2 linked regions of the Lepisosteus oculatus genome follow. The protein of the gene in region 1 interacts with the protein of each later gene in a pairwise test. Links are inferred from orthologs where the notes say so. Each region holds a gene or a part of one and is shown in the gene's direction. Other genes may lie near its edges. The genes, in order: ccdc172 and hddc3.

Region 1 (16,243 bases):
GCTAACTTGTATATCATGTCTAAAAGATGGCATGAAGTGTGGCATACAGTATTACCTACAGTAAGCGCTCGTTTGAATATCTTGCAAATACAGTAATATGCCCCAACCGGCTCGACAGATCCATTGGTCGACGTACGGGTACATTACATATTCGTGTATTCAATGTTAAGCATTGCTAATCACCTCGATAACGACCACATACAACGATCTGAAGTCCCTTTTGCACAATGTGTAGCCTGCTTTCGTATCCTTTCATCATCATGCTATTATGATTCTAATTATCCATAACGCAAAGTTGATTTTTCTGAGCATGCCGCGAGCCTTAGCAGGCTGAAGCGACTCAAAAGTGCCCGTCTCAAAATGTCGAAGAGGTGCGTTGCTGGGCTCACCTTGGACGGAAGACCTGTCCAGCGTAGGGCACCCACATATGGACAATTCAGAGACACCAGTTAATCTATCATGTCCTGGGAAAGGGTTAGGAAACACAAAGGAATCCGGAATAAATCCTAGGACACAAGCTGTGTGACCACTGTGACCCACTAGATCTCCACTTAATGAAAAGTTAATGACAGATTTGACAAGCATTGATAAACTATAGAAAACATTCAGTATCTGATAACAACAATGAACGCAAAATTCAAGTTTTTGAGGAAAAGACAGCTAGCTGGTAATTACCATGCCGAATATTTCTGTTTTTAAAATCATAACCTGCCCTGGCAGATTTAACCAGATTTAATGCATAAACCTGCATCGCTTGGTTTATTTACGCATAAATCACTATGATCTGATTATGGGTTACATTAACTATATAGCCTTCAAAAACGTAGTGCACACCTTTTAGATAAAATAATTCTGAGAGCAGGACTCGATTTACGAGAACAAAGACCTTTAAGTTCCAGTGCTCACCTTCGCATTAAATTCAGGCTTTGGTGCATAACACACAAAGCAAAATAAAGAAAAAAATATAGTAAGAAAAAGTCCAGTTTAAAAAGGACAGGAAAGTTCAATGAAGACTATAGTACAGAATGTATACAGTACATTTATACAGTACAAATCTTGTGGTAACGGAACGTTAAACCCTAGTTTCTTGCCCTTTCACAGGTAACAGTGGAGTTACAGTATGAAGGACACATCTATCCCTTTAAACGAGATATTTAATGTAGCAAAATAAACAAAGTGAATAATATAGTTTTAAATTGCAGACTACAATTCTCTATCGCTAATTCAAACGTTCAAAGGCAGTCACACATAATGTACTCGATAAGCTCGTATTCATAAAAGACACAATAAAAGGTGATTACAAACTGAAACCGTGAGAACCTACTGTACCTAATTTGGTTTCCCCGTTGTGTTTACCTGAGCTGAGGAAGGCTATGTCTGAAAGACTAATAACACCAAGAGAAGAAACATGGACCAATGGAGCCGCCTGGCTGTTTCCAAAGGCATTTCAGCATTATCTCATAAAACGCTGCGATACCCACTGATACATTGCAGTCATATCAGTCTAGCACGAGCTCGAGATAAACAGAAAATTCTAAGAACAGGAAGACAAAAATATACTACTGTATTTACAAGGCGAAGAGCTATTCTAACTGTTGTAAATATGTACATTACGAAACCGGCTACAATCGGTTTCTGCTCAAAAGAAAGACCTTTAGCAACGACGAATTTCTGAATAGCCTATTTGAGTTTAGGCTTTGAATTTAAGAATTTTGCCATTTTTTTACATACATTTTAAAGCTAATAATGCAACTAAAAAATAACCTACAGATGTGGGAAATCTTCACTGTCAGTCTACTGTAAACTGTACTGTACACTTTTCTTATCAGGTAATACAATTTGCAAACAATGTTTTGAATTCAGAATGTAAAAGATAGAATATTAATCGTTTAAAATATAAAATATTACAACATTATATTGGTAATTAGAGAACATTTGATATATCTTAAATAAGCATTTCTGGTCTTATATTTGGCCACTCGTCATGAAGGATGAAATTTATTTTTTATATTTGCAAAGGACAAGGGAGAGAGCAGTCAATTTTGATCATTTAGGTGCGTGACAGACAGTTCTTGATCTTAAAATTGGTTTGAGCAGTTGGAATCATTTTCTTTACACACCCTTTACCTGAACATCTTGTTGACCATTAGTGTATAAAATGATAAGGTAAAAGAACAGAAACAAATCAATTACTGCATTCAGAATAGCCATCTGAATTGTTAAACCTCAAAGACAAAGAAGAGCACATGTGACTATTAAAATAACATTCTCAAGAGCTGTTCTTTTGCTAATTTCGAGGTTACTGCCAATGTGCAATGGGGACACAACAGCAGGAACAGTCTCTACCACAAACCTGCTGGATTCCAAAATTGAATGGAGCTCCCCATGGCTGAAAATCAGTTACATGGGTCCATGGTTTTTGTTTGGGGGAGGGTGTACTTTCTCGCTAAAAAATAACATTTTTATTGAGACCTCCAGGATAACAATCTTTGAAGGGTTGGCAGCTTTATTCAGAAGCTTCAATACCTCTCTGTTCCTACTGTAAGGTTTTTTTTCACAGAGTGACTTGCCTTTTCACTACAGAGATCCCTCTCATTACAGCTTTTCTCCTGGCCCTGAAGTCTTGTTGAAATTCTCCCAGAGATAACCAAGTTTATCGATTGTTGCTTATGATGATCACTTTTAGGAGGTGCAGCACTGGGGGATGAGAAGTTCAGTAAATCTTATTCTACAGTAAACCATTTCTTGTAGGTAGCTGCAGTTTTAAACATCAATTGTATTTTATTATATCTTTGGTACTGTACCTTATACAGTACCTTATACAAATCTTGAGGTGCACAACTATATCTTTACAAAGGGTCCAACACAGTATCACTGTTTGCTATCTTCCGGGTACAAAATGATGTTAAAAGCTAAAACTGAACAAGTCTGAATAAGCACAAGGTAAGAATACACCCTGAATGGGATAGCAGTCCATTGAAGGACACCCACTTACAAAGACATGGATAATTCAGACACCGCAATATGCTGAAACAGCACATCTTTGGAATGCGGGAGGAAACTGAAGCACCTGGAGGAAACCAATGTGAAAACAGGAAGACCATACAAACTCCACACATAAGGTGTCCAAACAGCAATGCAACACTGGACCCAAGAGCTGTGAGGCAGCTATAATATTACAATATGCTGACTGTATTTTGGGGCTTATGCCCTAAATTACTTTTGACTTTTAGAGCTTTCTGAAAAATAAAATAAAAACTAACACATCTAATTTGTGTTATGTAAATATAAGACACAGTTTTAACTACACATACAGCAAAATCTGTTTCTTTAGTAAAGATTTAGATCTTGTGTTTGACACTGCATAACCCATGCTTTTAAAGTCTAATCACTACAACTGATGTGCCAGGATGTGCTAGACGTGAATTGAAATGCAGCACTTCTGTGACAAAACAGTGTTATCAAATCCCACTGACATACAGAGCCTTCAATAGTGCATTCTGGCCACCTCCATAACTCATAACTTGCATAGATGCTGTGAAGAATGGGAAGTAAAGAGTTCATTGTATTAAGATGAATCAAATGTAAACCTACAAGTAGACACATTTAATTATAAACCAACAAGCACAAGATAACCGTACATGATTGAGCATGGATTTTTTTTATTGAATTAAAATTCTGCATTCCCTCACAAATGTACAGTAGATCACCTAAATATTGATACATTTTAATAGTGCCTTGTCATTTGAGAATTCAGTCTTGGATTAGTGGATTAACCTCTGCTTCCCTAGTTATATACTGTATAGTTATACTGTACGGTATATCGTTTTTAGAGCAGATTGATTTGCAGGTTACAAATAATTGACTGAAGATTGACTTTTCGTTGACTACAAGCACTCAAGTTACATTTCTTAAAAAAATTAAAGAAGCACTTTTATCTGTTGCCTCCTTATTTTTTAATCATTTAAACCTTGTACACAACACACTACATCTTATCTTTTCAGTTATACATTGTATGTACCAGGCAGCAGTTAACCTCTGTTCCTAGGACAAAATATTTAAGTTATGTTATTCAGTGATTTACTATGCTTTTTGTTTTTCAGTTTCCACCAATTTAATGATATGGTATAAACATCTGCAAAATGTTTAAGGACATTTTAAACATACCATGTTTATAATATTACACAAATACAAGTGTATCCACTTGTTAAGTTTCAAAACTGAAGGCTGGAAGCCATTCTTTGTGAAGTCCACAATCCCAAATTAAAGTTTTTATTAAAACTCATCTTTCTTAACAGCAATATGTTTTTAAAAGAAAGTCATTTTCAATCTTTGTGACCCTTCAATTATGTTCTTACAGTAGTGTGATGTTGAGGTATGAAAGAACTTACATACTCAATAAGCTCTTGCACATACTGTACAGTAGACTACAAATGATGATTGGACTACTAGAACAGTTTTCATCAGGCTTAGGGTCAAGGGTGAGAATTGCATTTAAAAAGAATGCATTAATTTTACATAAATGCAATATGATGACTCTGCACATTTTTGCAAAGGAACAAAATTGCTAACCTCACTATAAAGGTGTACAGCATAAATCTGGGTTTTATGTAAAGCTTCAATCAATATTTACTATTAATTTTCCAAATGAATGTCAAAATGATATAGTCTTTGCTATATAAATGAGTTCCCATTCACACTTTAATGTGCTTCATGGCACTGGTTCAAAACCATTCTTTCCACTGCGGCGGGGAAATTGAATAAAGTAAAGAATGATGTGACAAATCTTAAAGGGCCAAATGGCATAGAATTAAAGTTATTGATTGCTGACTATGCTTACAAACATCAAACAATACTTTTGCTGGCAGCTCTAATAGCTCACTTAAAGGCAGCTGTGATAAACTGGAGATCTAAAATGCTTTCGAATGTTGGTGATTTTATACTATTCTTTTTGCTCATTTAGAAAAGTGTAACAACTATTGTCTTTGTCTTAGGGAGGCAGATACTGTATACAGTACTTGCCAAACAATTGATGAATGGATACTGCACATACATTTTTTCTAATAACAAACCTAACTTATAACAACAACACACCAGAAATCAATATTTAAAATATCCTTTAGTGTTTGCTTTTCAGAGGCTCTTCAGAAATCCTATTGGAAGGACATTTTAATCAGTACTTTAAGAAGAATGCAGTACTTAGTACACACCTTTGTTTGCACGTGGGTTATTTTTTCAGCACTTACCATTAATGTCATTAAGGTGTTTTTTTGGTGTTTTAATTACAGGTTTGGTGTGTATCAGTAGGGAAATTAAGCAGGACAGGATGTGTGTTGTGCAGGGCTCCTACCTGTGGTGTTTGGGTGTAAATAGCTCATTACACAATAGCTTGTTCAACAAAGAGAAAAACATTTACAGTAGCAATACTGTTTTTCCATTTGAAAAAGTAATTAATATAATTGGAAGGTATAAGTACAGATAATACAGCTTCATGTTTGTTGTTTTGTTTTTGCATGCAACATCTTACACTCTCCTGCATTATTACTTCCTTATTGTAAAATTTTATTATTACTTCTACCTATTTTAAACACTTGACCTCATCAGGCCAGATCTTAACCTGTTTTGTGTTGTCACAGCATTAAGCGGGTTAGAGAGCATGTGACTCTCCCCCTGGATGAAGCTGGACCATTTCAGTAATTACCACACTAAAATGCTGGTCCCCACCTTATACAGCTGGGTGGCCTGGAGTAACTGGCGTAAGGCATATTACTCAAGATACAGCAGCAGTGTTTGTTTTGGGGACCTGAACCCACAACTGAATATAATATATACTTTAGGACAGACCTATATACTGTATACTAATGGTTCCACTATTTCCAAGTGACACTTGGCAGCTTTGGTGATGTGGTATACAGTATGAATGCCCTGTATCTGGTGACTATGTTTCAGACTTGCAGGAACTTCACCTGTGATGCCAGGATAACACCACAACTCCAGTCCCAGACAGCATTCTCTTTTTCTGCCATTGTAACTAGTTTAAACTGGCATGGGGTTTGACAAGGTAAATCTTTTGTTAGTGCTCTGGGCTAGCAGAAGCAGAAGAGCAGTTTTGGTTTGATAGCGAGTCCATAGTGGGGAGCATGAGGAGACAAATTGAATATTTCTTGCGATTGACAAAACAAAAATTGAAATCTGATGCCTTAAAATCCTAGTCTTTAAAGTCTAGCTATATTTTCTATTATGACTCCTTCCCTGGCAATCTGTTTCATGCAATTTATAAATGATAAAAACGATAAAAACAATTCAGACTTTGGAAGCAAAATATTCCATAATCCACCAATAAAACACTAAATAAAAGACAAAAGGTGGCTAGAGTTTGTATAGACAATTTCAGAATAGCAAAAATAATTGCATTAAGGTATACGTTTTACTAAGATCTTAAAAAGTTAAAAAGCTGGTCCAGTAAGGACCCAACCATGACCCCTCAATTAATCTTCCTTTCCACTGTTAGGTGCCCGGAAATCAGCGGGAAAGGGAAATACATTTTGAGCCATATTGTTTATAAACACCCAGCATATTTATATAAACAGTGTAAGAAAAAAATATAAACGTGAAATATATTATTTAACCATTTTCTCCTGAATGATAATTCATGATAGAACGAATAGCGTCCGGCAGTCACTCTGAAATGCAAGCAGCGATCAACTTAAATTATGGCAAAGAAATCCGTCACTGATTTAAATTTAAAAGTGGAAGAGTACAGCAAAAGAAGTTACAGCAAAATAAGTCTTAAACTAACACATTTGTCCGTGCGTATTAGTAAAATCTCATATAAAACTGTAAAAGAGCCCAACTCAACCACAGCAATCACTCTTTAAATCATTTTCTAAAAGCAACATCCTGTTGAAATCCTATTAAAATAGAAGCCCAATAAGCTACCGCTGAAAAAACCTAACAAACCAAAACGCTACAACCATCGACTGTCAGAAAATGACACCGACCTTTTAAGGAATAAACAATTACAAATACTCGTTACCATATAAATTATATAAAAATTAAGTGGATTTACGTTGCTACTGTACTGTATATACTATAAAGCAATCTCAGCATCATTACACTTCTTTTAGAAGAGTCTATCACGGGACCTAAGGGGTGTTCTGTGGTCACTCGTGCATTACCTCCGCAAATAGAAGAATTCATATTCTTCTGTAACGAACCGCTGTTTTTCTCGAACTTTTCCAGACGTTTGAATTAACTTGCAATATGAGTCTGGACTCGTTGTTTCACCACATTTTACTTTCAGAACAAGAGGCTGAAGAGAAAAGACGTCGTTTACTGGAAGGTAATTAAAAAAAATATCGTCATATTCGACTGAGTGGAGAAAAAAAAACTTCGTATTTTATTTGGTGTAAATATTATGAGCACAAAACGTGTTCTTCGTTTTGAAAAAACTGAAGAGCCTGGTTTATGTCGCAAACAGAATGGGGGGATTGTTGTTGGATGGGGCGTTATATTTTTTTCTTCTAACCTACAGGACAAATTGATAGTATAACTGGAATGTTTTAGAAGACCCACGATATACTTTTGAATAGTTAAATTTGCTGCGAAACCACTGAAGTTATTGTTGCTCTATCTGCATAGTACTGTAATGCAGTGTCAGAGAAATATACATCTTTCCCAGGAGTAGTCCTTAACATTACAGGAAAACTATTGTGGTCGAACAAACCAGTTACTGTATGCCACATCATTAAAGAGATATAAACGCTTGAGAAATCGATAAAGATGACATTATTACCATCCATCGAGACTAAACACGCGATAATGTTACTTCTGACATTAGCCCTACACCATCACTTAGGATTGTAAAAACTATATAAACCATTATTTAATATGGTAATTTATAACTTTGCAAGTACATACTGTATACAATTCACTTACTGTATATCGTAATACCCGTTGTGCTACTAATACTGGTCTTGAAGTGCCGTCTGATCCTGTTTAAGTTTGTAAATTAATTAGGTTTATACAGTATTTGTTCTAAAACGAACTTCTCAAATGATACATTATTGAAACAAAGGAAAAGGCAGGTATATGTACTGTACTGTATATTGTTGTATTGAAAGATTATTTACAAAATGTACCTGAAACCTGGTTAATATCTAACAGATTACCGTCTGTCACGCAGATAATTTGGGGTTTCTTTCCTCAGACCGTTCTTCCATATTCAGCACTGCCAGTTTAACGAACCTTTCCTTATAATACTGCCAAAACAGTTCTGACATACTGTAGGCCTTGAGACACTGCAGCACTTTGCTGGGTTGCCTGACAGCTATTGGTATTGTAGCATATCAGCATACAGTATCTTGCATTAGTTAACATTTCATTTGTAAGATATAAATTTATAATAGATAACTTGTATGATGCACCAATTTCCTATTGATGATTTGTTTTACATATTTCAATATAAGGCCAAAACTTTATAAATTCCTGCATCACCTTTGACATTGATGTAGTACAGTAGTCCTATTTCCTCAGTTGTCCAAAATGAGTGAAACAATGCGTTTTAATTCTGGTACATTGGCTACTGTTCCTGCAGTCTCTTTTAAACCATTGTTTTGTGTGGGATTGGAAAAAAAAATAATAGCAAATACCATTGACAGGTCACATGTGGGAGACAAAAATAAAGCCCACCTATTATGCTGGCTTAATCTATTATTACCAGCGGGACCACAATTGTTACACTAATAACCCAGCTACTGTAATTTATAATATTATTTCCCAGCAGGGATGCTTGCACTAAGGCATTGCAGTTTCATAGAACCATCTGAACTACAGTGGAAGCTGTTGAGAACAGCAACGGATTCAGTTAACACAGTGAAACTTTTTCTTTCACTGTGGCATACCAGGTTCAAAGTCGAATATAACAATGACAGTCTAAAGTCATCATAGCAATGTGGAGAACAATTGGAGTTTAATTCAAAGGTTATTCAGAAAGCAGACTCTAAAAAAAAACATAACAAGGCAGTTCTCTTGAGTTCCATACTGGATTAAAGTTAACACAGAAGTTGACTGAATGGGGCTGCACTGAACAAAATAATTAGGAGTTTTCATATTTTTTATATTTGTAAATCAAAAGTCTGTTTTATGTGTTAAAGAGGTTCCAGATTCCATTGAGAGATTGTAGCATGTACGATTTCTGCTGTATAACTGTTAAATGTACAGAGAGACGGAGAACACAGATTTGAGGGAAAGAGGTGGGGCACAGAAAACAAAAGAGAGGGGTGAGAATGGCTCTAAGGCGTTTGCTTAACGTCTTAAAAATAGAGATCTTGTGTTGTAATTACTGTGGTAAATTTTAGAATCACAGGAAATGACAATGTACAGATATTGGACCAAATAAACTGCAACACCTGGGTGTCACAATTATAGTCCCCCCTCCTTAAGGGTGCTCCAGCCCTTTCACTTTAGACTTCATTCTGTGCACCTGATCCCTTTTTCCCAGCCCACCTTAAAAGCCAGGCGCTGACGCTCATCCTGGCTCTGCATCTGGTTTCCGCACCGTGCGAGTCCGGGACCTGGAAGCGCCCGGTCCCGGTCCGGTTCATGGTTTTAATTGCCTGTTTGGATGGATCTCCTGGCTATGGACTTTCTCTTGTGTTTTTGGATACCCTCTATGGATTACTCTTTTGGATTGTTTGTCTCGGCCACACCTCCCCCATGCACCAGCGCACTTTGGACACGCCCCCCTGTTTTCAGCCCCGTATTCCTGCATGACGTTTTCCCAGTGTTTCCCCACTTCTTTGGATTGTGTCGTCCGCATAGGGTCCGGAAAGAACTGTTTGTTACACTGGGTAAATGAGGGCGACCAAATGTGTTGCCTTTGAGGGCTATGACAAGTGTGGTCATGAATTACAGTAAATAAAGCAAATAACTTCCCAGCATACCTAGGCTCATGCATGAAAGTGCTGGACAGGCCTGGTTGGTAATTAGGCATTAGGCAAGAAGAGACCTCATAGAAAGAGAGTAGATTGTTTGTTGTGTGTTTGGCAGGAGCTTCAGTGTCCAAGACTGCTCCACATGCTGCTGTTTGACGAGCAGTGATATCTAAAGTCTAATGTCAGCGGTAAACTCCCAGGGAAAGACCTCATCAACAATGATCAACATACTTCATGATTGGGGATTGGAGATATCTGTGCGTTAAACTCAAGGGAAAACAAACAAGCACCTGCAGACGAGTTGAGTGCAGACATCAACCTGAAGCTTGAGCAGCAAATGGCAAAAAACACAAAAAATTGTTTTAGTCTTAATCTACTGTAAACCTAATAATTAAAAAAAACTTCATGGAAGAGTCTTCCATATTCATTTGACAAGTAAGAAGGTCGCTTCCAGCTAGAAGGTCAATTACACATAATTTTAATTCTGTTATACTTCCCAGATTAACATTAAGTATGATTTATATTTAAAAGAAAATGCTTTGCTGAATAGATTTACCGTGCATGAAAATGTTTAATTAATCATTAATTTGTTACAGATCTAAAACCATAAACTTCAGCGTTTATGAACATTGTTTAAAGATGAGGACAAATCAATATATAATCCAGTACATCAATCAACAGTGAAATTTCATCACCCTCTGATATTAAATGAGGTCAATTTTATTATTTTTCTCAAGGTTCTGATAAATCTTTCATTGTGAGTAGGGCTATCTGTAAAACCTGCAGGTCTCATTATTTACAGTTATATTGAGTGTTTTATTGGTGCTGTAGAGTTTTTATTAACCGATCTGTTGTTTTTTTTTCAGTTAAAGCGGAAATTGACTGGTATCAAGAAAAACACAAGACTTTAATGGAAGAACTAGAGTGTGCAAAAATGAAAGTAGAAGAAAAGGTAAGCTAAAATTGTGAAGTTTCCTAGGAAGTAAATGCGAGCAATTGGAATGAAGCCGTAGTAGCTGTAACAATTAATTGGTATGCATTCTTATTTTTTTGTGTTTTTAAAAATGGTACAGTGTATCAACTATGTTACTTGTGTAATGAATGTTTGTTTTTCTGTAGTAATTGGAAGACAATGCACATAGTGACAGTGATAGAATTGGTGTTTTTTCACTCTTATCTTTGGATTACGAACTTTCAACCCTGAGTAACATTCAGCTGTTTAAAAATGGATTCAAGTCACTGATGAGGAAGTTATAGATGTGTAGATGTGGTGACATTCAGATTTGAAGTCTGAATGAAATTTATCTTAAATCACATTTCATTTTTATCAATCCAAAATATAATTCATAAAACACAAAACAGAGTGTCAAATGTGCAATGATTCTGCCTCTTTTTTATTTGCAGCAAATTGTGCAGGAGAACTCATTTCATCCACTATTTTAATTTCTGCTGTGTTAGTTGAAATTTGTTCAGTCAGGAAGACATCCAAAGTATGGTATAATTTGATGAAATTACCAGAATCTCTAACCGTTTAGCTGTAATGTTCCCTGTGACAGAACACTTGTAAACTTCAGTTAAGTGACCCTGTTCTTTATATTGCAGAGATTGTAATCTCTTTCACATATCGTTATTAAAACCATTGAAATATTGATAATCTTCAGCACTTTTAAATGATGACTTGTTTATTGACAAGAGCTCTTCAAAAAAGATCAATCTCAAGCTGCAATTGTAAACCTTTTAAACAGAGGCTAATATATATGAGAAGGCTAGATTAACCTTCTTCTTAGGCAATATATGGCAGAAATCAAAAGTGCTTTCATTTACATGAATGCCAGCTTTGTCAGAAAAATAATTACTGTACAAATGCTAATAATAATTGGTCGCATTTGTATGAATACCAAATATAATGTCAGCTGACAGTCACTTTAGTTTTAATATATTATCTTTTAGCTTAAAGACACATAAATAAAATTATAGTCATAATATGTCATAATTTTTAAAATTTGTCTTCTTAATTAACATTTTATTTTACAATTTGTTGAAATTAGAGTGAAAGTACAATGTACTAAAGCTGGTGAAGAAGGAAATGCAGTGCTTAATTTGTAATAAGAGGTGCTGGGGGCAACCAATGTTTTCAGTTTTAAACTTGCTGTATTGGTATTATGACAATAACTCTGCTACAAATTCAGAATACTTGTTGAAAAGATGATCCAATTCTGTGTTCTGACGTTATATATTTACAGTTATATTATGAAACTACAGTGTATTTTCAGTGAGAGATTCTGTTTTCTTTAAAACAAGGCCAACATAATGTAGTCCTGGGTAATTACTGACAGTTGTAGGCTTTTATATGAATACTATATACTTGTGACTTTGTGCATTTTGATTCATGCTCCTTGCATAATTCACTGCAGTGTCCCATCAGGTAGCAGTAATGTGTGTTTCTAATGAGAAAAGCCATTGTATAAACTGTAGTCTGATGCTTGTCATTTCTGCCATGTAGCCTGAGCCACCCCATTTCCTTTTGACTATTAAAAATTGTATGTTAATCCACTTTTGGTTGGCTAGGCAGCTTATATGAAAAAAAAAAAACTATTTTGGCATAAAAGATCAGAGGAAATTAATGCTAGAAACACATGCCAAATGAAATGGTTATTACTTTCAAGTTCACGCTCAACATGAGTCCTGAATGCAATATTTATGACAGCTACTTCGTAGAGATTGCTTGGGGGTCATAAGAAAACATCTAGCAAATATTAATTTACTTGTGTTCTGTGAAGGCAGGTAGCATGTAATTAGAAGCTGAATGATAACATTTGCCTTTCACGGCTGAATGGACAGTTTTAAAAAGCTTGTTGAAAAAAGGTGAAATATTCAGAATCTAAATGCCAATATAGTAGTAATTACTGAATGACCTAGAAAATGTGAACTGTCAAAATAAACAATTTTCACTTCTATACAGTTCTTGCCATCTGCTTTCATTGTAGAGATATTTTCTAATTTTCCATTTTGCTAACAGATGTTTGCAATGATTTTTATCTGCATCTTGCGTCAAGCTTTAAATATGTTTAAAAGACGATAAAAGTGAGAGTTACTAATCAAATTAAGTTTATGTGTAGTTGGTGACAGAGACAAATGGGTAGGTACAGTATGATAAGTTTGAATTCAGAAGGTTGAAGGATCGGAAGAGTTTTCCAGTAATCAGTGCAATGGGAACATGCCCTGTTTTCCACCATCAAAATGTCTGTGGAAAATATTGTAGGGACAAGGTTTATTATTACACTAGGAATTAAGTATTATTTAAGATTTCTAATAATCTTTCTGTGCTTTGAAAAAAGCAGCTTGGTGCCTGTCCCTAAATGCAGAGAAAGGTGGCTTAAGGCACCTCTGATAAAAGACATCGTAAAGCTGTATCATGCTGTACATTTAATGATACATAGCACAGATAGGCTCCAGCCAGTCTCGAGGTTGGTTCCCAAAAACCACAGGTCAAAGGTCACTATCCATCACCCAAAGGAAGATCCACAAATTAGGGATCTGTAGGGTGGATACCAGAACCAAACCTAATGGAATCTCAACCAATCATCAAAACTTTATTTCATCATTCACATATTAATTCTCGAGAGTTGAATTATTATTGCCACACATGTTTGATGTTTAGACTGATAGTCTACAACAGACTGCAACTCAATATACTGTAGTCGATGAGTATCTTTACTCTGAAGTTATTAACTCTGATCTTTGTAATCCCTGAATGATTACATCAGGATCAATCCCTGATGTGAACGATGAGACATTCATGTTCACAGTTGATTGTTTCACAAATATATTTATATTCTATTACGGTGTTGTTTTTTATGTATATTTTGGTTTGGTTGTATATTGTATATTTAGAATCCCTGGGTGAGACTGTAAGTTATGTTTGATTGATTCCTAGAAGTCATCAAATTCTCTCGCAATTTACCATTACAATTTCTGACTGTTACAAGAAACTAAAACACCCAAACCCCTACAATGTTATGAAAGCATTTACTTCTACAAAACAACTCAGAAAATGAAATGACTAAGTAATCAGAGATTTATGGTAAAAATGGTTATGCAAATTTCAACCCTAGAAACATCCTTTTCTAAATTGTCTTACAGACCCGGATTCTGTCTGAAACTGCTTTGCAGTGTGGCCTATTAAGGATGCACAAAGAAGCAACTGAAAAGCAGAAAGCTGACCTTTCAAAACAAAAGCACAATCTCATAGAATCCCTGGTAAGATTATTTATTGTGTGTTTTACATGTTGTTCATATCTATTAGCATGCTTTGCATGTTGTGGATATCTATTAGCACATACTGTAGAACTATTTCTTTACTATCTAAAGAAAGCTTTAAGAACTGTACTTTCTATTGTTTACTGACTTGCCACCTCATACTGTACTGTATGTGTTTAGTGTGATTCTCTGTAATTATAACGTGCATAAATGGAAGCAAATTATTATTACATAAAGCTCTGAAGCGCAGTGGGGAGGCCTTGTACAGTGCTGATGCATGTACAAGACAGATATAATGCCTTGCTTGATTTCACCGCGTTTAGCCAGGAGGAATGTCATATTCATTTTTTTTCCAAATTGTAATGAAGAAATCAGATACAGTACATCCATTCTTTTAATTGTGCAAACAAGAAATAATTTAGTATTATTTTGTTTTCTAACCTCTTTATTTGTGCTTTGTGTAAAATGTGTGCTTTCTCAAATTGTTCAGAGTTGTGTAAATCTTGGTGCCAAATTTAAAATAATAAATAGAATTTATTATTTTTAACATTTGTTCACAATTCTGTCTTGACCCTGTAAAATGCAGGGGGAAATACGACAAAAATGCTCAGAAGAGCAGGAAAAATTTATGAAAGAGATCATGGCTTTCAATGATGATTACAGTCTACTGACAGACAGAGAAGCAATTATGGAATCCAGAACCAAGGCAGAAATACTTAAATTGGAAGAGGAAGAAACTTTTTTAATCAAGGGTAGGTACAGTACACTTAACTGGTGCACAGTAATAATTCTTTATTTAACCAGATAAGTCAGTTGACAATTGCATCCTTGCCAAGAGACTTTATACCATTGTTCCAGATGCACATAGACAGAGCAATCAATAATATGTAACTACAATAACAGTAGAGGTTGTGGCACTGTTTACAAGTGCTTAATGATACAACTAAAAATGCCCTAAGATACAAAAGGGCTATCCGTCAAAGAGAAAAGATCCCAATGATGAGAGAGTTGTAAGGGGGTTGTGAGACAGAGGTGGCTTTGAGGAAAAGTCACCCATTCATGAGAAAACTAAAAATGAAGCACACCTGGTGAGGGAAAGAGGCTCCTTGCTTAACAGAGCAAATGGTGAAGGAGGAATGACATCCTGCATTCATAATGTGTAGTACTGTAGGTCATTGTCAGTGGGATCAAAGTGCATTGCTGTGGAACAGGTTTAGCCAGCTGATCCAGGGCTGATTGGAGGTATTTAAACCTTCTCGTTCCAAAAGGGATTGCTCACAAATATGGAGACTGTGTCCTGTGCCAGCCCACACTGATATAGTTAAAAGTAATGCTTTTGATGCTTCTTAAATAAGAATAAGAAAATAATGTTTTGCTATCAAGATTTCTATAAAAAACGTTAATGGAGAGGCATTAAGGACAGAATGATGAACAGATGAAAGATTGACATTGACATTCAGGTTTTCAGTCTTCTTTGTATTTGGGTAGTTTACAAAAGGAAATAATTAGAATACATTATCAAATGTAATACACTGCGTACTATTTCAGAAATTTCGCTTTTAAGGGAAAAAATAATGTGAACCTACACTATTTGTGAAATATTTCATTTATTGTTTTCAATACGTCCTTAGTTTGTCCAACTGCTTTAAAGTAATAGGATGAGTATCAAATTGGTCATTTGTGCTTTATTATTTTAGTTTAATGGCATTGAGTATAAAAGCTGGAGCATTATGCTATCTATAGCAGAATAAGCCTTCCTTTAAATTTTCCTTTCATTCCATCTTTACATCATTCAAATTTCCAGTTTATGTTTTTCATAAGAGTCATCCTTTCTGGTCTGCAAATCTAAAATTTTGAATATTGTTTGAGGATTCAGAGAAATATGTAGCATTGTACCTCCTGAAAGTAGTCAAGTGCCTGGGTGGGTTTGTTTTCTGACAAAGATCATCTTCATCCACCTGAAAAGTTATCTTAAAGGTTTAAGATGTGTGTGCTTTTAGACACTGACACAGAAACTACCCCTGTAGAGCTCCCATTTAAAGGCTTAC
Region 2 (16,955 bases), on another chromosome or scaffold:
TGTGTGCAGTCTGTCTGAGCCTAGGATTTGTCCCATTCAGGTTACCTACCCAAGCAGTGACATAGCAAACATGCAAAATAAAAAAATGCAAAAGCCCAAAATGCTTCTTTTTAACGACTTTATTCTTACTTTTTAATACTTCCGGGATCTCTTTACTTTAGAGAGCACAAACCGCACTAGGTCTCTGATGACCTGCACCCTTTGCTGTGGCTGTTTGTCTGTGTGAATCCAGAAATGATCCTCCTAACAGTCCCTCTTTTCTCAGCTGCGTTAACATCACCCACAGTGAGTGCTATTACATCCGACTCCTATCTGCATTGCTCCTGATTTCCTCGTCTGCACGCCTGTCTTAGCGTCTCACCGGCGGTCCTGTCGTTGACCAGTTTGCCCACTTTGCTCTCCATGGCAGTGAGAGTCTCCCCAGGGTTCTGCTCCACCAGCAGGCCCAGCTGGCGCAGGTTGGCAAACGTCAGGAGATGCTCTGTGCCGTAACTCTTGGAGGCAGAGAGAAAGAGGGGCTTGAGCAGTTACTGGCACCAGGAAGAATCTCTGTGCACAATCACGTGACAAAACAAACTCTCAATAGCAGTAACAGAACACCAAATGCTCTATCACCATTCTGGTGACTTCGTAAGACATTCCATAGTCAAGGTCAGTGGAAAATGACAGTAAGCTGTTTTAAAACAAACATTTAGTCTTTTATCATAGTAGTTTTTAAATATATTTTAACTTACCTGCAGGTATTGAGCTTTCAAAGATCGATAGTCTTTGGGGAGTAGACCTGGAAACAAAGAACAGGCAGAATCATGGATAACCAGTTGGCTTTCATGAAGCCTAAAGGCTTCTCTCTCGCAAGTCACAGGAGTGCAAAGAGCTCCCAGGGGATGAGACTCACCATTCTCGGTGAGGGAGAGAAGGCACAAGAGTCGCAGGCTGTCGATCATGGAGACCTGAGGGCAGCAGCAGCAGCAAAGGGGTAACTCAGTCACTTACTTAATGAATAGCAAATCATGGGAATGGGATAGTGATTAGGTAGTTGTGAACACTGTTCCCCCATCAAATTAAATACCCAAACACACAGTTAGAACATCTACTGTACACCGGCCTCATGCAAGTAGCTTTCTGATGAGCCTTACTGTTTTAACAGATTACTTTCATGTTTGGTTATACAACTTGATGTCACCTCTGAGATTCTCACCTGCCTGTTGATGTGCTCCTCTATATAGGTGATGCACTCTCGGATTTCAAACCCCTCCAGCAGAGCTGTAGCAGGAAATCAAATCAAAAGAGGTCTTGTTTAACAACACAATGCCCTAGTAATTTAGAATATTGCGTAAAACTGTGGACATCACATTCTATAAAAAATACTGCTAGACTGAAGTAGAATAACTCAGTACATTCCTGAGCTAAAAGGAATCTCCCAAAGCACACATGCAGACATTTTGGGTAAGTAAATTAAAAACCAAGACCAGAAGGCACTTTCTATATAAAGAGCTGTTGCTTGCCAGCCATGTAATTGAAGCTGATACCCTATCTTCTTTCAAGAAATGGCTAGATGAGATTCTCTGATCAATTAGCAACTAGAAACCAAACAAGCTAGATGCACTAGCTTGCCTTCTCTTGATGTTAGCCTTGGTATACAGGAGTTCTTATGTAGTTAAGAATGGAAAAGTTCAGAGTGCATGACACAACTCTCATGTTACTGTGTACATTGCATGACAAAGCTGAATTTGCAAACAAGTGTCAGAATCAAGCAGAGGACAGAAGCTATTAATTTATTTTATATTAAATTGATAAAGCACAAAGATCAACCAATCCCAAATGATGGTGAAAAGGACATTCGGGAACTGCACGAAGAGAAACATGGACTCACAGTGCTCTGTCTTCAGGAGCTCCTGAAAGTCCTGTTTGGTTTTCTTCTTCATGATGGACTCACTGGCACCGATATCTAGGGGAGATAATATATTCTGCATCCACAATTAAATAATATTTGGGCTTCAGAAATAAGGCATTTACTTTAAAACAGCTGTATTTTTATGTTTGTAGCGGGACACTGTTGAAACGACGAGGCCAGGACAGTACAGGGAGCCTGAGAATTAAGCACGGAGTGCTGAGTGCCACAGTACTACACCCCAGTGCTCAAACAGGAGGGACTGGGAAGGCAGTGGGTCTGACTCGGAGGACTGGGAGGGCAAAGCTGACTCAGGACAGAAACTCACGCAAACTCAGAAGGCGGTGCTCCTGTTTTAACCCCTTCAGCTCCTGAGAGACAAAATTCTTCATCTGCTTAATATCCATCCCACACCGCTTCTGCAGAGAGAGGGTGGGTCAGTTATGAGAAAAGCCAGCAACTGAGGCACACAGAACAGAAAGATATTGACCGGGCAGGTTTCGGTCATAAGGGGAGAAGACTGGAAATCCATAGACCACTTTCAGCACTACATTGTCATTTCTACTGAGAATTTCTGAAACCACAGATTAAAGAAATAAGAAGAGTATTTTAAATATATTAGCGATTTCTGAGATAGTTTTTCTAACCAAATGTCGGTGTTTAAAGCAGGCAGACATTGAAAGGCGAGTACTCACATCATATGCAGTTTGCAGGTTCCGGGCTTTTTGACTCAGGAACCCAAAGACATTGGAAAAGTGCTCATTCCTGATTTCACTGAATACCTGCAACACAGCACGCAGGGGTTCAAACTCTATACGGCAGGTGGCAGCCACTCGCACAGCACTGTCTCTCTACACACCTTATCCTGAGAATTCAGCATCACCTTCACACTCTTGTCAGAGGAGCTGACCTCAGGACTGAACTCCACACTGCCTGCAGGCAAAAGAGCATGGACATAATTATTGCTCTGGAGCAATAACCATATGGAACACATGTCAAGAAACAAAGCACAAGGCTAGGTGACAAACCTACTGTATTTCTTGGATTCGCAAAGCTGTTTTGACATCCCTGTACTGTACTGCTTTGAAAACACTGTGCTCACAATTAAATGAAATTATCTCCACAGGAACTAGGAGTTATGAGTGTTTCCAGCAGTAAGATGACGCATGGCATATTTATGACGTTCAGCTGTACAATATCTCCTTTTGATGTATAGCAGAATTCCACATATTATTCAATAATATGTTTTAGGTCAGGCTTCAAAGAGAATACCAGTGATGGACAAAATCTGTATGCGTAAAGGAAGCCAAAGACAGCACTCACCACATTTGATCCTGAATGTATCATCCACTAGTCCTTCATAAACAACCTGGGAGCACAGTGGGGTCACAAAATCCACATCTACGGAACAGAGACAGTGGCTGAACAAGCATAAAACAATGTAAATACCATTGAGACCACTTTCACACCTACCAAAACATGGAGCACAGAAACTTTGGAGAGATACAAAGAACCTTCTTATATTGACATGTACGGTATATTATGGCAAATGCAAAGATGGAGGATTCCTGTGTTTACTGTAATTTTTTTTTTTAATTACTATTTTAATCATTTACTCATCCAGGTCACAGGAGTCCTGTTGTATGGAAAGCCAAGAAGATCATGGCCAACTAATCCCAGCTCAGGCCAAGGCTTTAACAAGCACAAACGGAGTTTATTTAGCTCTACAATTAATAAAGAGGATGTGATCACTTCAGAAGTACTAAATGAAACTTCATCTTGTTCACCCCTCCTTACAGCACTTCACCCTGATGTATTTCAGGGTTCCTTTCCCCTGTCTTTTTCTTCCGGAGTGGCTCCATACCTCGGTCAATAAGGAAGACATTCCCAATCTCAGGCTGCTGGGTCTTCTGCTCCCCGTCCTCCACCAGATCCCTCCACATATCATACGTCATCTAAAACCCAGAGGGACACAGGCCATTCTCAGGACACTGGTGGGACTGGCTGGCGTAGTCAGACTGTAACGGTGATGGCTGGGAGCCTACCTTGGCAGAACGACCAATCCCATACACCTTTAAGAAGGGGCCATAGAGAGAGTTCAGGAGGTGGAGGGATTTGCTTGCAGTTGTGATCCAACGCTGGTTCCCCTCCTGGAAGAAACAAGGGCAAAATGACATATGTCCTATACAACACTGACTTGATCTACAGCTGCAATTATGCAGTATATCACTGTATAAAGAAGGTATTGTTGTCTTAACACTGTTGATCGATGCAGTTGTATTAGTGTTTTCAACTGCACAATTAAGACTATAAAAAGTAACATAATCGTACTAAACTGTGGCTATACACCCTAGATAAGTCAAAACAGGAACAGCTCAGATTAGTCATTGAAGAGATTTCACGATAACACCCATAATCCACTGTCCACTCACGGTTTCTATAGTGACATGCCTTTTCATTATCACAGGTTTAAGTGTCCATACTTAATCATCTTTAACAGGCTAAGCCATCTCTGATTTATCTCTAACGAGGTGAAGAAATTCCTCAACAGCCAAAATTCCACAGCCTCCATAGATCGACGGGAGATTCTGTGGCAAAATGTATTCTGACGGTGAGAATATTTAAAGGCAAGAAATTTTGTCTGTTACACTGTGACAGTCTTGCCTGCTTACCAGGAAATTGTCTCTGAAGATCTCTGGAAGCTCCAGGCTGATGATGTCATCATCCAGCGGCAGGAGGTAGAAAGCCCACTCGTCAGTGCTGACATCTGCAGGAGTGAAAGGGTAGACAGGTACAGTAAGTGTCGTTCCTCCTTTCCCAAGACCTCCTCGCAGACTGGCTGATACCTCCACTGCTGCAGGAACAGCACAGGAACTTCTGGGTGAATTTACAACAGAATTGATTTAGAATGACTAGCATGCTCAATTGCTAATAATTACATAAAGGGAGAAACTATCAATATTGTGAATACTCAGTGACATTTCAAGAACTGTAAATGAAGACATACATTGCAATACATTAAGATGTTTTTTAAAAAAAACATACTCTGCAATTATTTATGTAAACATCAGACAACACACATATCATGATGTAACTCTCTGGGTTGCAGTATGTGTCAGGCGTCTCACTGTGAATGAAGACGTACTATACAGGTGTCCTGTATACCCACCTCCGTAAACTCCCTGTTCTTCCAAAACGATTTCACAGGCATAAAACTGAGCATAAAAATAAGAACATACAGTTAAAACCCAGCCAATCAAAAGCCCTTTTTAATACCTCATCTGTCTTGACCCCAGGTGAAGGAAAAACCTTGAGTTACTGAAGTACTGAATCTGGACAGTTTTTTCTTTGACTAGTCTGAACTCTTAAACACAAAAATCGTTTAAGGAAAAAATCAAAAGGAAATCAATGTTTATTCATTTGAATATATTTCATGCATCTGGACCAAATGTAAAAAAAACATAACTGTTTCTGATTTCTTTTTGAGGGTAATGCTGCCACTCTGTCTGCAGCCAATTAACTTCTCAGTCAGCACAGAAGAAAAGCACTTTGAATGTTTTTTTACCAAAATAGGTTGTTCTATTCTCTACCACATTTACAATATGTTCTAAATAAATAAGGAAGTGTTATGCTCATTTGAGTTGGCCAATCTGAAGTGCAATAATTAATTTCTGTGCTTCAAGCTCCTAAAAAGGAACCAGAAGGTACTCCCCAGATGAGGCCTGGAGAGCTCACCTTCTGTGGGCAGAAGATGATCTTGTATCCCCTGAGTCTTCCAGCTGCCTTGTCTGTGTTCACGATCTCTGGAAAAGAAGGAGGTGGAGATAAATGTTTCTATTCTGGTTTAAAAGCAAAGATGCTCACAAAAATATGTCAAATTTGTCATTTTCTATTCACAACGAATAGACTGCCTATGCCTGAAATTAGTTTTGCCTGAAGTAAATGCACTTTGCTTTATCTCATTGCTGCCTCTTCAAAGACATAGCAAGAGTTACAGAGATCTCTAACTTTCTCCTCCCATCCCCAATCTGTTTTTCGTCACTGAATCTCTCCCCCGATGGCCCTACTCACCAGCAATCCACTTCACTGTTTGTATCCTTGGCCGAATCAGGAAGCACAGCCTACAGGAAGCACAGCAACATTTTGTTTGTTACATTGTATGCTGCAATACATTCTGCAATCTTTGTTCCAGAAATGGCAAAAACATGATTTCACAAAAAGGGGTAAAAGCACAACCAAACATTATGATTAAACATCATGTAACTATCCTTTCCACGAGTTAGGAAACTTCAGTAAAATGTACAGCATACATAAAACAAAGCACACAAGCTGACATTTCAACATCCCTCTAGATTTTTGTGGCACATTGTGAGAGTCTCCCTGGATTTCTTTTCTGTGATTCAAAAAGGTAAAGATTTAAACCAAGTGAAATGTACAGGTCACCTATATTAGGTGCTTTATTGGAGAGTTCAGAAAATACTCACTGATTGCACGTGCTGACGATGGGTTTGTTCTCCAGTTTGTAAAGCTTGTCCACTTCATGTTGCTGGAAAACAGGCAAAATTGAGTGAGACTGCAGGTGAACCTGCCTCACTTCTACTAAACCCCTGATCAGAATCCCCATCAAAGCCAAAGAAACCCAAGCATGCAGACACTGCAGGGCGCTATGCAGGAAATATGTGATCCCTAAATAAGTGCAGAAGTGCTGGATTCTGGAGGTTAAAGGCAACAGAACACTGTGCAACACTGAAGAGGTCAGAGTTAAAAGAGACCTTGAGGGTGGAGACATTGGCAATGCGATCCAATGGGCTCATTAAGTCCGCTTCAATGAACAGGTCCTTCTTTCCCGGTAACTGATGATGAGAAGGGATAGGAGATCATTAATTACGTTTAATTACATTAAGGTTCATACTTGCATTCAGGAGCTTTTACATGCAGCACTGGTATTAATTTGCATGGAGAGGATGAATGAAACAGTAGAACTCAACATATCACAAAGATGATGAGATCATACTGTACAGAACCACAGTCCTGTAACAAACGCTCACAGCCGGACACAGCCATGTTGTACCTGCTCCAGCAGGTAGATGAGCTGGTCCCTGGCCAGCCTCTTGAGGAAGGAGAAGTCCGGTGGCTGGGGGGCATCTCTCCTGCTGCTGAGAGCCATGAGGGCAGAGGGTAGCCAGGGTGGTTCTCACAGCAGCTCGAAGCTGTCCCTGAAAAAGCAATCCATAGGCTCACACAGGCCGCTGAGTCCTGCAGTGCTGCCTTGTCCCACACTGCAGGGTTACTGAGAGTTGTTCCAAGTCTTGAGAGGTGATCACAGCAGGCACAGATCCTGGATTTAAATAAGAGCATTCTGGCATACACGTGCAGATACTGTAAGTCCTATGTTGATATAGGAATTAATCTATACTGTTGCTCCAATTAAAAAACAGAAAAACTGTCCAGTTTTCCAGGTTAAATTTCACACCTGTGATATGAACAGCCTACAGCGTGCGTTTGCAGCTACTGCACAGTGCTCAACAGCAAGATGACAAAGGCAGCTGGGTCTCTGTGTGCCCTGCTGTGTTCCTGGCAGTACACGTGGTGCTTGCTTGTGCCAGAATCCTCATTCTAAAGTTGTAGGTTTCGCTCAGATTCAGAACGATAGACCATTAGTTCAATGAGTTCAGTTCATTGAGTTATTAGTTCACAGTTTAGGTTCAGTCCGGTATTTCTCTGCTGAAGTCCTGAGTTTAGAGCAAAACAAGAACAGATGTGACAGCACAGATGCTCCTTGTAATTTTAACAAATTTAACAAATCACAGAAGCAGGGCAGCACAGTGACACAGGGGTTTAGATTGCTGCCTTGTAGCACTGGGGCACTGGTTTCAGTTTCTGGGTTGGTATCTGTGTGGAGTTTGTATGTTTCCCCATTTTGTGGGTTTTGCTCAGGGTGCTCTGGTTTCCTACCACAGCCCAAAGACATGCTGGCAGGTTAATTGGCCACTGGGAAAACTGGCCCTGGTGTGAGTGAATGTGTCTGTGTGTGTCCTGGGATGGACTGGTGTCCCGTCCAGTATATACCCTGCCTCGTGCCCGTTGCTTGCTGGGTTAGGCTTCGGTTCCCCAGCGACCCTGTACTAGATAAAGTGGTTAGAAAATGGATGGATAGATGGAAATCAAGAAAACTCACTGGTCAATTAGAAATTAACAAAATTGCTTTAAATTCATCTGGTTAATTTTAATTTTAAACAATAGTCCTACTATTATGAAGCAAAGGAACAAGTAATAGGTTTATTCCATGCTGAAAAAAAGAAGAAAGAGAACACAACGTTTCGGCCGTGGAGCCTTCTTCAGGTGTGTGCCTTCTTGACACACCTGAAGAAGGCTCCACGGCCGAAACGTTGTGTTCTCTTTCTTCTTTTTTTCAGCATGGAATAAACCTATTACTTGTTCCTTTGCAGCCTACGCATGCTGACGCAGCTACCCACCTGAACTACTACTATTATGAATGCATCTACTACTATTATATTGTGATGTACAGAAATTATAAACATTGCACCATGGAGATCATTCTATGCAGGACTCTGTGAGAGTTAGCTTACTGTGCTATTTTAATAGCTAATGTGTCCTCCAATACGCTGTAGTTTACAATGTGCCCATTGTCCTCCATGTAAAATTATCTGACGCGAACATGTACGCGGAACGTAATAAAGATCTTACCAACTGGTTTCTGAGACGATAAGATGTGAATAAATGGCCCAACAGATGACTTCCAATATGGTCTGGCTACCACTCAGTTTAAAAGTGCGCCAACACCCAGATATCAGTATATAATAAAATCGCAAATAATGAAACGCCACGTACAGACACAAAAAATACAAAGCGCTACGTACGTAGTGATAATCTATCATATCCCTACAGTCTTGCGTTAATTATTTGATACGTGTCGTCGTCATGTATTCATTTTACTTTGAAACGTATTTAAAATGCTCAGGACAATCTTATACATCTTATATTATTGCTACAGTTATATTTACGGAAATTCTCCTCTCTTCGTGTGGAAATGTACAGTAGATACCCTGAATTTACGTCGGGTTTCAATCGAGCCTTAAGCCAGCCACTATCATTAAATTAAATACACCACTCAAATACAATAACTAGATGACAACAGCAACACTTCGAATATATACTTTAAATGGCTGTAGTATTTACACATGCCCAATTAACAAGAAAGCAAATAATATTACCTGCTCCTCCTTTCCTCCTTGCGGAAGCAATTATTATTGTCGGTTGTTTCAGTCCGGATGACACAAAAGGGACACATCCTGGAAGAAGGGAAAGAAACTGTTTGATAGAACACGACGGGATTTATGTTCGTACTTAAAAATCACTATTATACAATATTTAATGGAGTAATTAAAATTGTATTTGATACTATTTAGAATTGTAACACGGTGATAAACTTAGATTTCACAATATTACTTTGGCAAATTAAAGTATATACTGTTACGTTTTCGTTTTGCGTTCATTAGTTGATCAAAAGCTCTATGTCGAAGGAGATAAAAGAGCAGCGTTTCAAGTTTTCTACCACAGGGAGGCGTCATTTTCAGAGGAGAGAAAAGTGAATCTTTTTTTTTTTAACCTGTATCGCGCTGAAGTTAGATCAAATATGAGTTCGGATTCAGCGTTGCTATTGGAAACCGTGAACTTCGCCGCAGAGAAACACAAGTACCAGCGGCGCAAAGACCCAGAAGGCACCCCTTACATCAACCACCCCATCGGTACGGCCCGCCGTGCGGAAGGATTGCACTGCATTTCTTTGTTGAAAATATTTGCATATTTGCAGTTGAATAGATATTTCTGATGTATAACAGTGGCACACATGACGTACAGTATCATTTGTGTGTTGATTATTAACCTTTTCCCTTTGCAAACTTTTCTCAGAAGAAAATAGTCGAAACAAGCAAGCTGTTCGTCACATGGTGATTTTCAATTGTTGATGTAAAAACGTTGCATATAATTTTGATCATTTTATAATTCTTATCAAGAGAATGTGTTAACAGTCGGGAGATGCTCTTTAAGAATGAATCACTTTTATAAAAGATTTGTAATACTAGTGTGATTGTTCTCTCCTGTTGCTTCCTTTAAAAAAAGGAATCCTATATCCTTGGACTTTAAGATTTTTTTTTTCCATTCTAGGGGTGGCTAGAATTTTAAGTCAGGAAGGTGGAGTTACGGACATTGCAGTTTTACAGGTAAAAGCAATTTGATTCTTGTGTGCACAACATACCCCCCCAGTAACAAACATGCAAGTACCTATGGAAGTATCCTTAGGTACATGTCGGGCTGCTCTCACTGCTGTAATCTGTACCAAATGAGTGACACATTTGGGTATGCATGTGTAGTTTACTTGCAATCTTATTAGAATAAACAATGTGAAAAGATATTTTCTTGTGTAACCCGAATAGTGTGCACTACATCAGTTGCAGTGTTCATTTTTGCATTAACAGATGTTCTAGGAATGGATTTGCTGTGTTTCTGCAGGTATGAAATGGTTAAGTAAATGAGAAGTATATTGATTTGTCTGTAACACTGCCTAATTTATTACCTTGAATCCGTTGATTAAATTTACATCTTGTTAGGATTGTATCACCTCCAGCACTGGAGGAGTTCAAATGTGTGGTCAGCTGTCAGTGAGCACGTTGTTGTGCCCCCCTGCAGGCTGCACTGCTCCATGACACAGTGGAGGACACTGACACCACCCTGCTGGAGCTGGAGGCCATGTTTGGGACGACAGTGGCGCGGATCGTCCAGGAGGTGACCGACGACAGGTCCCTTCCCAAACAGGAGAGGAAACGGCTGCAGGTGGAGCACGCCCCCCACTGCAGCCACCAGGCCAAGCTGGTCAAACTGGCTGACAAACTGTACAACCTGAGGGACTTGAACCGCTGCACTCCCACTGGTGAGTCACCTACAGGGCAGCCACAGAGAGGCTCAGGGAGCTCAGCAGGTGTGAGCCTGGTCAGTACCTGGATGGGAGACCTCCTGGGAAAACCTAAGGTTGCTGCTGGAAGAGGTGTTAGTGGGGCCAGCAGGGGGCGCTCACCCTGCGGTCCATGTGGGTCCTAATGCCCCAGTATAGCGACGGGGACACTATACTGTAAACAGGCGTCGTCCTTCGGATGAGACGTAAAACCGAGGTCCTGACTCTCTGTGGTCATTAAAAATCCCAGGGCGTTTCTCGAAAAGAGTAGGGGTGTAACCCCGGCGTCCTGGCCAAATTTCCCATCGGCCTTTATCAATCATGGCCTCCTAACAATCCCCCTCTATGAATTGGCTTCATTACTCTGCTCCCCACTGAGAGCTGGTGTGTGGTGAGCGTTCTGGCGCACTATGGCTGCCGTCGCATCATCCAGGTGGATGCTGCACACTGGTGGTGGTGGAGGGGAGTCCCCATTACCTGTAAAGCGCTTTGAGTGGAGTGTCCAGAAAAGCCCTATATAAGTGTGAGCAATTATTATTATTATTTGAAAATACGATCTCCTTCACAGCTGTACATATACATTTTTATAGATCACTTTTTTTGTGATGTGAGCCATTATGCAGTGTTTCAGATTTTGTCACAATAAGAAATGATAGCTTTGGGCCACAACAAAAATACGTTTTTGTTGTGTTGTAGCCTGACATTTGTGTGACTGCGACTGAACGTGTAAGATCGTTTGTAGGGTTTTAAAAAAAAACATTATGGCTCGAGTATATGTTTCGCAACAGGAACTCGGAGACATCCTGGTCTTGTAAATATTTGCATACCTTCTTTGTGCATGTTCCCCTTTTACTTTACCGCAAGATAGCTATTCCCTGTTATTGCCCTTTCAGTATAACTTGAACTTCCTTATGTGCGTGCATAGGGTAATTTAATACTTTCCACTACAATGTGGTCAACCCCTTTCAGAGTGAGCAGACTCGAACGTCCTGATGTGTGTGATCTGCTGGGCGTGGAGCCGATGACTCCGACCTTGCGTTGTTTCAGGCTGGACAGCAGAGCGGGTGCAGGAGTATTTCCTGTGGGCAGCCGAGGTGGTGAAGCGTCTGCGGGGCACTAACATAGCACTGGAGGACAAGCTGCAGCAGCTCTTCAGGGAGAGAGGCATCGAGTCCTGACTCCCATCGGCAGAGACACCCCGTCCACAATCTCTACACTACCTCTTCTCCGGTGCGGGGCTCCTTACTCACCTGACGGGAGCAGAACTGGCTCTGCCCTAGATAGCACTGGCCTCGGCACTTACAGCTCGCGTTGTCTTTTGGTTGTTTCTGTATTATTAAAGACGAATGATTGTATTCTGTCCCGGTCTTTTTATAATCGTTTTGTTTTAACAGACTATAGGTTATGCATGCAGTAATTCCACATGTACAAGGTGCACACTTATTCAGTTTGTCTAATAATATAGTTACAACATAATTATCGTAGAACCAATATTATGTATTCTCTGCTTCAGAATACACATAATAAAATGTTCATCTGCAACTTCTTTGTCAAAGACAGTGGTTGTAATACATCATTGTTATTAGAAGATCTGCAGCCATTTGTGGTCAGGTTAGAGACAGAGACAAGATCTCCAAACCTCAATATATAAACCACTCATGCTAAATTAACCATTCTGTTTCCTTATGAGAAAGCAACACAACAAATAGGAAGCAACTACAGTAAATACTGTGCTCATTTCATAGTTACAGAAAGCTTTTATTTACTGTTACTGTAGAACATTTGAAAGAACGTTTGCTTTCTGTAGAGCAATGCAAACTGAAAAGTGTATGTGTGAAACTACCCTGATTTATGTTCAAATGTTGAGCACTGTGAGAGAGACAGCTACAGTGTCATAAAGATAACCATTGTTTTGAACACCATAAGACCCCACACTACTTGAGGTTCACAATCTCATGAAACATTTAAAACTTTAAATAGGCTTAGTGGTATTATAGTAAGCCTATGCCACTGAGGGAACAAATAGAAACCAAATATTTGCCTCAGTCATGTCAGCTTCCTGTCTCTGCAGAATCATCCCACCCTGTAGGTGTTGGGGTGTGTTTTGTTTCTTAAAACGTGTTCACAACAGTTTCCAACTGAAACTACAAGTTTGCCAGCACAAACAGGAAGCTACAGATCTGCATACTGCAGGAACGGAGACAGAAACATGAAGGTTCTCATGCTGTATTGGCTTGCTGTGTTCACTGTTGGAGTCAAAGGTAAAACAGGGCAAGACTAGTAATATATTCCTGAGAAGTGAGTACAATGTGAAAACAATTATTAATTTTAATATAACTCCTAAAACACGATGGGGAAAAGCAGTCTGTGGTATGTAAAAATACCAGATTGGTGGATAGTCTCATCTGCAAAGGTTTGTTTTGCTTTTATTGTCTAATGGTAGCTATGAAACCATAAAAAGACAGGAGAAGTAATTTAAAGAAATATGAAACTATTGCTAATCATATCTTTTATTATCTAAAAGAAATGCAACTTAAACTAAGTTTTACTATTTTTTTTATTTTTAGGTTACCTTGAATATGACAATGAGTTTTACATTGAAATCTTGGGATTACGTAAGTAAGAAATTCTAACTCAACCTGGAACTTCTTAACCTGGAAATCTGTAGTGTGTGTAGTAGGGCTCTAGAGATCTTCCACTTTTACAAGCAAATGCTTAATGCAACAATGAATTAGTGACAAATCATTATTCTGTTATGGAAACTTATGGTTTGCCTCTGCATGGTTTATATAGCAATATCTAGTTTTCAGCAAACACATGTTGCACATCATCATTGCATGCAAATCTTTTAAGACTCTTGATGGGATTTATAGATGTGAAATGCAGTTTTCATATACTTTCCAATGTAATGATGACTGTGTTTATTGGTGTCTACTAATTCTTTCTGTGTGTACTGTATGTGTACCTAGCAATGAACAAGTGTCCTGTTCAGAGTGTAGTCCTGCCCTGCCCCCTATATTTCCTGGATAGTCAACTATGACACCAGAAAAAAGCAATATTCTGATGGTGGGTGATTGCTTAATGGTCTTGGTCTTGTTGCAGGATTTCCTGGACCTTGGTTCTGGTACACATTATATGGTGTCTCAGTTTTTGACGCGGTCTGTGTTCTCATCATCTCTTCCCTACATGTGAATTTCCAGTTGCGCATGAGACAAGTGAGAAAAAGCACTGCCCGAGAACAGAGGAGTCTCATTTCCTCTAATGACTTTGGCCTTGTTTCTGTCGCAAGTGGAAGAACGCAGCTGACCGACCTCTGTGAACTTCAGTGTTAACCCCATAGAAGACAGAATCTTCTTGCAACAATTTTCTACAATATACTATATGTTCACTTTTTCCTCCCAGTCTGAAAACACGAGAATGAAAAAAAAAACCCAGAAACAACTACTTTTATAATAAAATGGCAGTTACAGTGCTCTACTACTAATACTCCCAGATGTAATAGCATTCCTGTAATTTTGTTTTTCTAATGTAAATTAAGTTCTTGAATAAAATAAAGTAATGTGACAAAACAACGACTCTTTTACTGCATGATCCTATTTCTTCCGGAAGGTGGTTGTGTGTTGTGTGTGAGAGAAGAAGGCGAGGAATCTGAGGTGAATAATTCTCGAATAAGAATCGGCACAAAATGATAAAAATTGAAACTCCAAAACTAAACTCACGTTATTCTACTTTTGAAAATATCCTCCATTCATGTTCTCGTCTTTTTAGTTCAAATGTAAAGAAAGATGTTTTTGATGGGACACGGCATAGAGAAATCAATGTAGCGATACATTTTCTTAGCAGTGTTAACTTATATGCAATGTTGACGTACAGTACATTATTTTCTATAAAATATACTAAAACACAAACCAGCTTCAAACCGTAGATTTACACTAGGTTTTCGTGCTTTCAAATTTTATTCCAGTAAATATTTTAATAAAAATAATCATTGCTATTTTAAATAATATTTCTATAGATTATAACATGTTGTTTATAAAACCTACGGAATTAATTTGTTGTTGTTTTTTTTCATTCGCCCACTACGTTAATGAATGTTGGTCCAAAATAAAGATTAAGGAGGAAGCTCTGTAGTTTTTTGTTGCAGTTCGGAATCCAAGCACTGTAACAACATCCGGCGGCTTGGTGTCGTATTTCCTGTTTCTCTGCTACGGAGAGGAAGGAGATAGTTGTTGAGTGTGTTGTGAAGCTGATCTGAGATACATTTGTTTCTTTTGCATTTGTTTTTGTCATTTTTACCGTCCAGTCATGGCGGCACCGAATTCTCTCAACGTGAAGCAGCCGCCGATTCAATCCACGGCCGGAGCCGTGCCGGTGCGCAATGAGAAAGGTGAGTTGTTGGACTGAGGCTCCGCATAAAGCGAGGACTGGTGATCATCGGGCCCTTGTTTTCGGTTTGAAAGTTAGAATACCGAGAGGAATGTGTCCAAAATGATTGACTTTCCTACAGGTTGTCTGTGAAAGTGCACGAAAATATTAGTTGAAGTAAATGTTAAATAATTATACATTTAAGTTAATTTTATATTGTAAGACATGATGAAATACTGGATAAATACTTGTATCGGTATTAATAAATATATGATATAAAGTTAAAGTCAATAATTAATAACAAAGCGGGAGATTATTTGTTTACACTCGATACAAATACACATATAAGCTAATGAAAACGTAGACCCAATATTTTCGATACATATATGGTATTTGATAATACTACTGAATAGAGAAATGTTGGTATTTTTGTGTTGATTTGCGAAGTGTATGAATCCATTTAAGAAATTAAAATGCTACGTTTATGTGTGTTCTATAGATACAGATCATAATTGTTTTGGGTTATAATGAAACTCTTTAGCCCTAGTGTTGATTATTCAAACAGGTCTGATCGCAAGAAACGCAAAGGGTAATAAAAAACACCAGTCGTCATCGTTTCCAGATTTCTGTGACTATTAAGGGAGTTCCATGTAGCGCTTGTGTGTTATTGCAGTCTTCCAGAGGTGCGCTGTCTGGGGGAGCCAGAGAGAAGCAGGGAGTGAGGGACTCTCCCCAGCCCCTCTCTTGGGCAGCGCTGTGTGTGCATGTGTTCATGCGGAGGAGGGAGGTAATGGGGTTGCTGTGTCTTGCTGCAGGTGAGATCTCTATGGAGAAGGTGAAGGTGAAGCGCTATGTGTCGGGAAAGCGCCCGGACTATGCCCCCATGGAGTCCTCGGACGAAGAGGAGGAGGATTTCCAGTTCATGAAGAAGGGCAAGGAGGTGGAGCCGGAGGTGGAGCTGGAGGAGGAGGATGTGTCGGACCCCCGCCTGAGGCGGCTGCTGAACCGCGTCACTGAGGACGTGGAGGAGAGGTACCCTGGGGGGGGAGTGTTCATCCGCTGAGAACATCCCCAAGTGGCTTGACTTGGTGACATCCATCCATTTTCTAACCGCTCCCTCCAGTTCAGGGTCATGGGGGAGCAGGAGCCCATCCGGGCAAACAATGGCACGAGGCAGGGTACACCCTGGGCTTGACGCCAGTCCATGGCAGGGGCAGAGAGGCATAGACGCGTACACACTCGCACCAGGTCCAGTTAACCTACCGGTGTGCTTTTGAACTGAGGGAGGAACTCGGAGCACCCAGGGTTAACCCACATGAACACTGGGGGGACATACAAACTCCATCAGATAGCACACAATGCTAATCACTGCACCATTGTGACATTATCAGTTAAAAATGGAAATTGTGAACAAACAGAAGTTCATTTATTTTATTTTTCAGTAAATTTTGTATTGCAACTTCTTTGTGTTTTTAAGTGGATGTAACTGCATGCAGTATAGCTGTCATTTTTATATAGTTGATCTGTCATTCCAAATAACACTTTGATTGTCGTGATGGTCAAAATGGAAAGCGGCCTGGCAGTGGGACTAATAACATTATTTGTGGGTCATGTCGTTTTGATTCTTTTGCTGTGAGGTCTGATTGCCCTATCCCTGACACAGACCCTGCTTTTCCTCAGGTTGGCGCGACACAGGCAGATCGCAGAGCCGGAGCTGGTGGTGGAGAG

Evidence for each region.
Region 2: the proteins of ccdc172 (region 1) and hddc3 interact in binary tests that used the Homo sapiens proteins (3 or more experiments, as listed by UniProt). The two-hybrid records come from large-scale screens. The link is inferred for Lepisosteus oculatus from reciprocal best matches to the Homo sapiens genes CCDC172 and HDDC3.

The regions. Positions count from the first base shown.
Region 1 is NC_090699.1:42,658,682-42,674,924, forward strand, and holds the start of ccdc172 (coiled-coil domain-containing protein 172), read left to right. Parts: upstream 1-7,187; 5' UTR 7,188-7,263; coding exon 7,264-7,342; intron 7,343-10,801; coding exon 10,802-10,887; intron 10,888-14,078; coding exon 14,079-14,195; intron 14,196-14,781; coding exon 14,782-14,947; intron 14,948-16,243.
Region 2 is NC_090700.1:49,390,962-49,407,916, forward strand, and holds hddc3 (guanosine-3',5'-bis(diphosphate) 3'-pyrophosphohydrolase MESH1), read left to right. Parts: upstream 1-9,220; 5' UTR 9,221-9,548; coding exon 9,549-9,660; intron 9,661-10,078; coding exon 10,079-10,134; intron 10,135-10,600; coding exon 10,601-10,841; intron 10,842-11,909; coding exon 11,910-12,040; 3' UTR 12,041-12,222; downstream 12,223-16,955. Other genes in the region: vps33b (vacuolar protein sorting-associated protein 33B), read right to left, coding at 362-494, 735-781, 896-950, 1,199-1,263, 1,874-1,948, 2,220-2,310, 2,587-2,673, 2,751-2,824 and 10 more; mfap1 (microfibrillar-associated protein 1), read left to right, coding at 15,168-15,249, 16,043-16,259, 16,908-16,955. UniProt on the Homo sapiens protein: ppGpp hydrolyzing enzyme involved in starvation response.